Cricetulus griseus: one gene and its partners. The protein of the gene in region 2 interacts with the protein of the main gene of each other region in a pairwise test. Links are inferred from orthologs where the notes say so. Each region holds a gene or a part of one and is shown on either strand. Other genes may lie near its edges.

Region 1 (3,749 bases), on a different chromosome or scaffold from region 2:
CCTGTATTGTTTCCATTTGTTTAGAAAAAATATTAACCCATATTAAATACCATCTATTATTTTCTCGTCACTACAGTGCATTTTGATGTACACTTTTAGAGACACTTAATATTACATGAATTAGCCACCATCTTTTAGATACAGGGATTATTTTATTGTATGGCACTATCGTAGTATGTTTGAGTAATTCTATGTTTTACACACACATTGAAAATATCTAAACACTGTTTTTAAATGCTACGTTATTAATATACATCATAATATGCTTTTTTGAATCGATTAGGTATTTCTAAACAAAGGTGCAAATATTCAAAATGTTCATTTGTATTTTCAAACTGCCGTATTACAATTCATACTACAACTAGCATGAGAGTGCATTTTCTCGGCTCCTGGTCAACAAGATTTAACATTCTCTTTCATCTTTGCAAATATGATAAAGTCGAAGTAAAATCTCATTGTTTTTATTTGAATCCCTTTGATTAATAGCGAGCACAATCATATTTTAGAAGCCTGCTGGCCGTTTTTTCGCTTCTTTTGTAAAATGCTCGCTCCCGCCATGCCTGCCCTTCCCCCATCCGGGTGTTCGTTTTCCCTTTTTGCTTTGTCAGAGTTCTTTACTATTCATTTTTCGTCCTTTGCATGGGATCGGTTCAATTCAGGCTTTCATCCTTTCACTGCCTCCCAGATTGCGAACCCACATTCTCCATTGGTCTTTCAGGGGCTGCTAAAGAAGCTGCCTCCCTCTTCCTCCTCCCGGCCTCCTCCCTTCCCCCTCTCCTCGCCTCGCCTCGCCTCGCCTCGCCTCGCCCGGGTCCCCTCGCTTTCTCTTCCAGCCTCCTTCTCTTCCCCCTCTCTTTGTTTATTTCTCTCTCCCTCCTTTCCCCCCCTCTGCAGGCCAGGAGTTTTGCACTCGGCCGAGCGACTGTGGCTGGGCTGGCGCCGCGTCAGCAGGGGGCGGGGCCGGGCCGGGGCGGGGCGGGGCGGGAGCGCGGGCACCGCAGCTGCAGGAGTTGCTGGGAGTGCGCGCGGACAGATCACAAGGCGGCGGCGGAGAAGGCCTGGAGACCTGCTCGCTCAGCGCTCGGCCGCGGCCTACGCCAAACCCTGTGCGCATCCGACTACCGGGAGCTGCAGCCTCCATTCATCTCCGAGGTACTGTGTTCCGCACTGCTCGCGGGGCCGCCCAGTCCTCTGCTGCGGCGCCTCCTTCCTTCCTCTTTCCCTCGCGCCCTCTCGCTCGCCAGCGCCTTCCCTGCCAGCCTGCGTCACCGCGGCCGCCATGGCTGAGAACGGCGAGAGCAGCGGCCCCCCGCGCCCCTCCCGCGGCCCTGCCGCTGCGGCCCAAGGCGAGGCCACCGAGCCAGCCGAGCCCAAAATCATCAAAGTCACTGTGAAGACCCCCAAAGAGAAAGAGGAGTTCGCGGTGCCCGAGAATAGCACCGTCCAGCAGTTTAAGGAAGCGATTTCTAAACGCTTCAAATCGCAAATCGATCAGCTCGTGCTGATTTTTGCCGGAAAAATCTTGAAAGATCAAGATACCTTGATGCAGCATGGCATCCATGATGGACTGACTGTTCACCTTGTCATCAAAAACCAGAACCGCCCTCAGAGCCAGTCCACCACGCAGCCTAGCACCACTGCGGGAACATGCACGACCACCACCACCACCACGGCCGCAACAGCGCCAGGGGCGCCAACGGCGCCAGCGTCGACAACGGCTCCCAGGAGTCTCTCCACACCTTCTCTCACGAATAACAATCCGTTTGCGTCGGGGACCCTGGGAGGACTTGCTAGCCTTAGCAGCCTGGGTCTGAACTCGACCAGCTTCACTGAGCTTCAGAACCATATGCAGCAGCAGCTCATGGCTAGCCCTGAGATGATGATCCAGATCATGGAAAATCCCTTTGTTCAGAGCATGCTTTCGAATCCTGATCTGATGAGGCAGCTCATTATGGCCAATCCGCAGATGCAACAACTGATCCAGAGAAACCCAGAGATCAGTCACCTACTGAACAACCCAGATATAATGAGGCAGACTCTCGAAATCGCCAGGAATCCTGCCATGATGCAAGAGATGATGAGAAATCAAGACCTGGCTCTCAGTAATCTCGAAAGCATCCCAGGTGGCTACAATGCTCTGCGGCGCATGTACACTGACATTCAAGAGCCCATGCTGAATGCCGCACAGGAGCAGTTTGGGGGTAACCCCTTTGCCACGGTGGGGAGCAGTTCCTCAGGGGAGGGCACCCAGCCTTCCCGCACAGAAAACCGGGATCCACTGCCCAATCCTTGGGCACCAACGCCAGCTACCCAGGGCTCTCCGACCAACACCACGACCACAAGCAGTGGCACTATGCCTGGCGGTAGCTCCTCTAGTAGCACCTTCGGGAACACCATGGCGGCAGCTAATTATGTTGCTAGCATCTTTAGTACACCAGGAATGCAGAACCTGCTGCAACAGATAACTGAAAATCCCCAGCTGATTCAGAATATGCTGTCTGCACCCTACATGAGAAGCATGATGCAGTCGCTGAGCCAGAATCCAGATTTGGCTGCCCAGATGATGATGAGTAGCCCACTGTTTGCTTCAAATCCTCAGCTGCAAGAGCAGATGCGTCCACAGCTCCCGAATTTCCTGCAGCAGATGCAGAATCCAGACACGCTTGCGGCCATGTCAAATCCGAGAGCGATGCAAGCGTTAATGCAGATCCAGCAGGGGCTACAGACACTAGCCACTGAAGCACCTGGCCTCATTCCAAGCTTCGCTCCAGGTGTGGGGGTGGGAGTCCTGGGAACCACCATAACCCCTGTGGGCCCAGTCACTCCCATAGGGCCCATGGGTCCTATAGTTCCTTTCACCCCCATAGGCCCTATTGGGCCTATAGGACCCACTGGCCCTGCAAGCTCTCCTGGATCCACCGGCACTGGGGTCCCCCCTGCAACCACTGTGAGCAGCTGTGCAGCTACTGATACCATCAGTCCGACAATGGAAACTTTACCCAGCCCGCAGTTCATTCATCAGATGGTGCAGGCTCTGGCAGGAGGAGGAGCAGGACCAACTCCTGCCCAGATGGCGAGTGCAGAAATGAGATTTCAGCAGCAACTGGAACAGCTCAACGCCATGGGGTTCATAAATCGTGAAGCAAACTTGCAGGCCCTAATAGCAACAGGAGGCGACATCAATGCGGCCATTGAGAGGCTGCTGGGCTCTCAGCCATCGTAATTACATTTCTGTACCTTGAAAAAATGTATCTTATTTTTGATAATGGCTCTTAAATCTTTAAACACACAAAATTGTGCTTTACTTTTATTTTGATTCTTTTAAATCTGTCTACTTATAAATCTAAAAGGATGCATTTTAAGGTGGAGTCCCTCCCTTCTTTCCCTTCCTGCTCCTCCTCCTCCCGCCACCCTCCCTCCCACCCTCTCTCTCCCTTCCCTTCCAGCCTGCCCTCTCCCCTCTTTGTTTCCTTCCCTCCCTTCTTCTTTCCTTCCTTTTCTTCTTTGGATTTCCTTCCTTCTCTGATTTGAATGGTGGGGATCAATGCTGTTTCACTCAAAGGTGTTGCATGCAAACACTTCTCTTTATTCTGCATTTATTGTGATTTTTGGAAACAGGTATCAGCCTTCACAGTTGGGTGAACAAGTTCTGTCCTACAGATGTCCAGTTTATTTGCATTTTAAACATTAGCCTATGATAGTAATTTAATGTAGAATGGAGATATTAAAAAAGAAGCAAATTATTTGAA
Region 2 (3,453 bases):
TCAGAAGAGGGCACCAGCTCTCATTACAGATTGTGGTGAGCCACCATGTGGTTGCTGGGAATTGAACTCAGGACCTGTGGAAGAGCAGCGTATGCTCTTGAACTCTGAGCCATCTGTCCAGCCCCACCAATTGTATTTCTATTCAGTCTTGGGAAAAAAAAAAGAAGAAGAAAGAAAGGGAAAGGGAAAAAAAAAGAAAAGGAGCAGACTCTGAAATCTTTAATGATAGTTTTGAATAGTTTTTGTACTTTAAGTTGTTTAGTGACTTCAGCTTTTAAGTGGGTTTAGTAATCTTGGTATGTTTGTTGTGTGAAGATGTAAATGAACTACAAAGGTAAGTATCTAAAGCAATAGCTAACATAGAGTAGAAACTCAGTAAATGCAAAATATTACTGTCATCACTATCACCTTCATCATGTTAGCATTATTTTATAGGCTAAAGACCAACTGATCTTTGTAGCTAAACAGCACACTGTTTATGATTTATCTAATCTGTAGTTTCTCATTATAAACCATTTTAACTAGATAAGCATCTAATAGGAGTATTTCACACTGAGCATATTTCTTACAACTTATGATTTTCCTGTTTTTCTCTCTATTTAGGTTACCTACATCTCATACTTGCTTTAATGTCCTTTTACTACCGGAATATTCAAGCAAAGAAAAACTTAAAGAGAGATTGTTGAAGGCCATCACATACGCCAAAGGATTTGGCATGCTGTAAAGAAGCAAAAACAAAAAGAAAAAGAAAAAAAAAAGAAAAACATTTAAAAAAACATAATAAATATAGTAAGAGGGATAATTTGGTGGTGATAGTGTCCCAGTACAAAAAGGCTGTAAGATAGTGAACCACAGTAGTCATCTATGTCTGTGCCTCCCTTCTTCATTGGGGACATTGTGGGCTGAACAGCAGATTTCAGCTACATATATGAACAAATCCTTTATTATTATTATAATTATTTTTTTGCGTGAAAGTGTTACATATTCTTTCACTTGTATGTACAGAGAGGTTTTTCTGAATATTTATTTTAAGGGTTAAATCACTTTTGCTTGTGTTTATTACTGCTTGAGGTTGAGCCTTTTTGAGTATTTAAAATATATATACCAACAAAACTACTCTCGCAAGGAAAACATTGCCACCATTTGTAGACCATGTAATCTTCAAGTATGTGCTTTTTTCTTGCTTTTTTTTTTCTTTTCTTTTTTTTTTCTTTTTTTGTCCCTGAATCTAGCTCAAATCAGGACCTTTTTTCTTTTTTTCCTTTTTTTCCCTATCAGTTTGCTTTTGAAACTTGAAGTCTTAGAAACAGTATGGTGCAAGTACTGCTGTTCTAGCCCCCAAAGAGTTTTCTGTACAAAATTTTGAGAATCAATAAAGATGGAAGGGAGAACTTGGAATGTTTGAACCACAGCCCTCAGAACTTTAGTAACAGCACAGCAAATTAAAACAACTCATGCCACAGTATGTTGTCTTCATGTGTCTTGCAATGAACTGTTTCAGTAGCCAATCCTCTTAGTATATGAAAGGACAGGGATTTTTTGTTGTTGTTGTTTTTGTTTTTGTTGTTTTAAGTTTACTGGGGAAAGTGCATTTGGCCAAATGATAGGTTAGTCAAGCCTATTGCAACAAAATTACAAAGTTTGTTGTATAAACAAGCATGTAAAAGTGCTCTTAAAATGAATCTTTATTATTACCTAGATTTTAAATAGACAATCCAAAGTCTCCCCTTCTGTTGCCATCATCTTATTTAATCAGCTATTTTTCAAGGCACTCGATCAGTGTTGCAGCATAACAGAAAGGATGGCTACTGTGCCTTGTGTTACTTAGTCACACAGTAAGCAGGCCTGCAAATGAATGGAACTATTACTCCTGAGAATTACATTGTATATCCCCCAAATTAAATTTTACATCAAAAAGTGTTAAATATTCATGTGCTGTAGAAAAGTACAAGTAGGCTTAAATTACTGGATATTTAATGTAGTTTCCCATTCCTAGTCTTCTATGTCTGTGATGTTAATTTCTTTTGTTGCATAAGAAAATAAAAGAATTATGTATTTTTAACTAAGGAGAGACATACTGGTATATCATTTTACTACAAGCTACAGCTAATTTGTTGAGCTTGTGATTTGATTCTTTTAACAATTAGTGCAAATCAACCTTATATTTTAAAATTGGCAGGGGAAAATGTAGCTTTCAAATCATTGGAAATGCTTTTTTCAAATCATTTTTCATTCTTGTAGTAATCAAAACAGAACTATTATTTACTGTAATGCTAAATAAAGCAGTGGCTTAAAAAAAGAAAACTATACCTTAATGGGAGAAAAAGAACACAGTGCTTTCTATACTGTGATAAGGTAATGTGGTTTTTTTTTTTTTTTTTTTTTCCCCCTGGGATAGCCTTTAGAACACTGTTGTGGTATGTATGCTACCTTGATTATAGGACCCATAAATGTGACTATAGTCATCTTAAAGGGCCTCTTCATCCACTGAGCTTCTTATGTATTTTGAAAGTGATAAGAAGACAAATTAAGTGGATATACTTTATACAATAAATTTGTGAAGAAATTTGTGTTCTTCAGTTCTCAAGTTTTATTGTTGCTACAGTATTGAAGTAGCTGTGATACTATATCTGTGTGAAAGTTTAAGTGATAATATAGATTATCAGACAGAAGTAACATCAATATATTTAATAGAAAGTGGAAAAATACCCTAAAAAGTTTTAAGAAGAAAAAAATAAACTCTTATTTGCTTCATAATCAGTTTTTCTCAGCATGTTACCACGTTATTATGGCTGCCTTTCCATTATTGCTTTCTTAGAATGTCAAGGAACAGTATCTTATGAGTAAAAGTATACCTTTTAGTGTTGTAGAACATTTCAAACTTAAAGCTTAAAAAAAGCACAGCCTGCAGCAAAAATTTTCTGGAGACTTGGCAGCTGCAGCAAATGAATTGAGTGTCTGATTGTATATATTGTGGTCTATAGTTAATTGTGTGATCAAATCCAGTTACAATTACCTTAGCTTTATTTGGAGATACATCCCTGTATAGGAAGATATATTATCAAAAGAAACCTATAAATGAGGCTTCAGAGAACTTGTTCATATTAACATGTGGCACATGCTTATAATTGGGCAGCATCACTCCCTATTTCTGTGAGGTGGCTGTACTGAAACTTAAACTGATGTAAGGAGTTTTTTTCTCAAGAATCCACATAACCTCCTGGAGAGAGAAGTGTTTTTCTGAGGCTACATTTTGTGATGTTCTTCCCTTTAGTTGCTTAAGACTATCTTTATCCTTTCTACCCTTCCCAGGGCCACCAGAGTAAAATATGATAATAATAGCAACTTTCACTTGCTGCTTCTCTCATCTTTTCTCCTCTTATTCTATCAAACCATAGATCTTTCTGTCTCTCTCTCGTGTGTGTGTGTGTGTGTGTGTGTGTGTGTGTGTGT
Region 3 (3,749 bases), on a different chromosome or scaffold from region 2:
GACGCCCCCCCACCTGTTTAGGAGACCCCCAATTTCAGGTAAGATCAGAGCATATATGTGCTACTCTATCATCAAAAGCCACCTTCAAGCTGTGACACAGACCTGTCATCGCTCAGCCTGCTGTCCCTTGCTGTGTATTCCAACACACTTGTTTTCTTAAAAAGCTCAACTTAATCCCAATGCAGAGTGACCTACACTTCACCACCTTTCCCTACAGTGAGAGGGTAAGTGTGAGTGTGAGTGTGAGTGTGAGTGTGTGTGAGTGTGTGTGTGCGTGAGTGCGTTGGGGAGAACACTCCAGATCCGGACCTAGAAGGTCCATGAAGAGCACTCCACTCGCAGAACCGTGAGTCAGGCCAGCTAACCTTCAGTGTGTGCACTCTGACCCCGAGTGGATTACCTTTTACCTAGCACTTTCTCCAGCCCGATCTGCTACACTTCCTGGATGAAAACTATCTGAGGAAACTGACTGACTGATGCTTAGGATACCCTGAATATAAAACCACTAGGGATCACTCGCCCCGAGACCAGACAGACCCATCTACATGGAGTTACATGCACACTTTGCGCAGCAGGGAGCGAGCACTCAGGGCCAACCCAAGCGCAGGCGCCCCCTGCGATGTCACACTGCAGTTTAGGTGCAGACTCCCCCTGCATGGCTTTTCTCCAAGTCACCATTTATTAAGTCGGCCCTAACGTCTTCTCCGCCAATCTCCTTTGCAGTTCAAGTTCCCTAGATCCCAATTTATTTCTGATCAACTTTTTTTTTTTTTCTTTCCTTGAACGGGGTCAAGAGCACGGTTCTCAACCACAGGGATCCCAGGAAATGAATTTCCATGACAGTCACTGCCCAATGCACCGCCACCACCCAAGGCCACCATCGCACCCTTTCCTTTAACCTTTCCAGAAATCGCTTTTTTGGGGGGTGGGGAGGGGTGGTGTGGTGTGGGGAGGGAGGGGGCGTTAAATCAATGAGAAGCATCCTCAACTGAAACAAGCGCCGGGGCCTGGCTAGGCCGAGTTAACCCTTTGCGGTCTGGAAACCTCACACCAGAAACGGCCCTGGGAAGTGATGTCAGCGCGGCCCCGGCGGCCCCACCCCCGCCGACCTCAGCCGCCCGGTTCCCCGCGGGAAGCACACGAAGAACCAGCATCTACACTGCGGGAGCCCTCGCCGCACCCACTTAACCCTCGCCTGCCCGGGGCGGGCGGGCGGGCGAGCGGGGGCGAGCCGAAACCGCGCCCCAGACTTTTTAAAGCCAGCGCCAGTCCTCGCTCGCGTCCGCGCCGCCCGCAGCCACCTCCCCTTCTTGGCTCCGCCCAGGCTGGCGCCTCCGCCGGTCCCCGGCTCGCTCGCTCGCCCTCTCTCTCTCTTTGTCATGGCGGAACTGTGTCAAGGAGCCCAACCCAACCCGAGCACCGCCGAGCCGAGAGGGAGGAGCGGTCGGGTCGGGTGGGGTGGGGTGGTGGAGGTGGGGGGGAGGAGGCGGCGGCGAGCGGCTCGCCCTACCCGGAGGGGGCCCCCCGATGCCAGCCAGCGGCGCCCGCACGAGCGGAACCGACGGCGGCCGACCCGCACCGGACACACCCCGCTCTCTCCCTCCCGGGGTCCCCCCTCCCGCCCCCGACAGCTGCGGAGGAGGAGGAGGGGGATGGGAGGGGCCGGGCCCCACCCAGACCGGCGCAGCCCCCGCTCTCCCCGAAGGATGCTCACCTCCCACCCGGCCGGAGACCCCCCTGCGTCCCCGGGGCGCCCAGGCCGAGCCCCTCCCCCAACCACCCACCCACCCACCGAGTGTGCGAGCGTGCGAGCGAGTGAGCCACCGAGAGGGACCCAGGAAGCTCAGCCCCGGGTCCCCGGCGGGAGGGCAAGCGGGAGGGCGAGCCGGCCCCACCCCGGAGACTCGCTCTCTCTCGCGCGCGCGCTACCTGGCTGCCCGCGCGGCGGGGGAGGGGCGGCGGGGGCGCCACGGCGGGGTGGGGGCCGCCTCACCTGCGCCACGGCCCCGGTCCCAGCCGCGGCGGAAGCGGGTGCCGGCGGGGGCGGATGGCGCTCGCCCGCTCGCCCGAGCTTCAGCCCTACCCCCCCCAAACCCGGGAGGGTCTCGCGCGTGGGCGCCTCCTCCGCCACCCCCACCCCCGGGGACACGGGACACGGGCGGACGGGGCGACCAGCACCCCGGCAGGGCCAGCAGCAAGCGGCCCGGGGGCGGCCGTGGGCGCTCGCCCGGGGCTCGGCGGGACGAGCCGCCGCCCGGGTCCAGGATCCTTGGGGACGCCCGCCGCGGCGGGGCGGGCGAGCGGCGGAGGGGCCAGCCCGGGAGGCTGCTCACCTGTGTCCGGAGTGGGTGGCGGCACACGGACCCGGTCGGCAGTGTCCCTGGGCGGCGGCGGCGGCGAGGCTGAGACTCTGTCCCTGATCTGGCTGCTCACAGGCTACAGCGGCTCCGCAGACACGGGGTTTCCTCCAATCACTAGCCCCGGCAGCAGGGGCACCACACGCACAATGACGTCAAACGCTGCTATGGCAACCGTTGATTGGTGCCCGGCGCAACCGCCGCTCCCCCGGCGCGCGCCCGCCCCGCCCACCCGCTCGCTTGCCCGCCCGAGGCGAGCTCAGGGAGAGCGCGTCCCCGACCCTGCCTCCTCCTCCTCCTCCTCCCGCGCGCTCGGCTCGCCCCCGCCGCCCCCGCGAGCCGCCCTCCTTCCTCCTTCCCTCCTCCCTCCCGCGCCGCCCCTGCGGCCCGCGGAAGGAAGCCGCTCCCTCCCCCCTACACCTCTACTGGCGGGCACATCCGGGACCTTTCGCGTCTTCCCCCCCCCCCACCCGCCCCTCCCCCTCCCGGCCGCCCCGGTAATGACGGCGGGCTCTGCGGCCGGGGCATTGTGATCAGAGCCCCGGTTGCGGGGCGGCAGCGGGCGTGGCCGCTTGCTAGCTCGCCCGCTCGCCCACCGCTGCAGTAAAGCGGCCTTAGACCTTTTAAGGCTCGGGCGAGCCGCCCGCTGTCCCTCCTGTCGCCCCGCACAGACCGTGACAGCCAGGGAGACAATGGGGGGTCTCCGGGAGGAGAGGGGAAGGGCTTGTGCGAGCTGGGGGGACACAGGCTCACACAGCGAGCCGATCTCCGGGCGCTGCACTGTTGCCCCCCCCCCCCCACACACACACACAGCCGGGCTTTGACGGGGAGGCTCGTTGTCTCCACTTAACGCTCTCAAAGAGCCTTTTAGGTCCTGGGAGCCACCTTGGGGATACTGGCTGCTCGCTCTCGGGGCCCCCCATCTGACAGTGGGAGGGGGGCCGCTCGCCCGAGCAGGGGCGGGAGCGCCTGGGCCCGGAAGAGGGGGTAGGAAGAGGGCGGAAATTGCAGGTGCCTGCACCCGCAAGGTCTCCACCCAGCAGACGGAAGCGGAGGGAGAAGCATTCTCAGCGTGAAGCGTGTGCCCTTGCGTCCTTTAAACGTGCGTCCTGAGTTGAAGCAAACGCCTTTACCCAGCTCCTGCTGGCTGGAAAAAAGAAAAGGGGGGAAAAAGTATTCAGCCCATAGCTCTCCAGAAGATTCCACGACAAGCTGTTCTTCCCCCAACTCAGTGTCTGTCTGTCGGATACATGGTCTGGTCATAAGCTTGCTCTACAAATGATCATTTCCCTGAAATGGCAGATAGGTAGCTCGAGAGTTGCCTGTGATCGCTTTCCCCTGACCCACCCACCCCGAGTCTGCACATCCACAGATCCACAGCACCGCTAAAAC

Evidence for each region.
Region 1: the proteins of Ube3a (region 2) and Ubqln2 interact in a two-hybrid assay, tested with the Homo sapiens proteins (2 studies listed by BioGRID and IntAct). The link is inferred for Cricetulus griseus from reciprocal best matches to the Homo sapiens genes UBE3A and UBQLN2.
Region 3: the proteins of Ube3a (region 2) and Ywhaz interact in a two-hybrid assay, tested with the Homo sapiens proteins (2 studies listed by BioGRID and IntAct, with this or other methods). The link is inferred for Cricetulus griseus from reciprocal best matches to the Homo sapiens genes UBE3A and YWHAZ.

What each region holds. Positions count from the first base shown.
Region 1 is NC_048604.1:111,414,661-111,418,409, forward strand, and holds the start of Ubqln2 (ubiquilin-2), read left to right. Parts: upstream 1-1,006; 5' UTR 1,007-1,279; coding exon 1,280-3,223; 3' UTR 3,224-3,749. UniProt on the Homo sapiens protein: Plays an important role in the regulation of different protein degradation mechanisms and pathways including ubiquitin-proteasome system (UPS), autophagy and the endoplasmic reticulum-associated protein degradation (ERAD) pathway.
Region 2 is NC_048596.1:138,656,717-138,660,169, reverse strand, and holds part of Ube3a (ubiquitin-protein ligase E3A), read left to right. Parts: intron 1-603; coding exon 604-724; 3' UTR 725-3,453. UniProt on the Homo sapiens protein: E3 ubiquitin-protein ligase which accepts ubiquitin from an E2 ubiquitin-conjugating enzyme in the form of a thioester and transfers it to its substrates.
Region 3 is NC_048603.1:14,723,632-14,727,380, reverse strand, and holds the start of Ywhaz (14-3-3 protein zeta/delta), read right to left. Parts: upstream 2,474-3,749; 5' UTR 2,334-2,473; intron 1-2,333.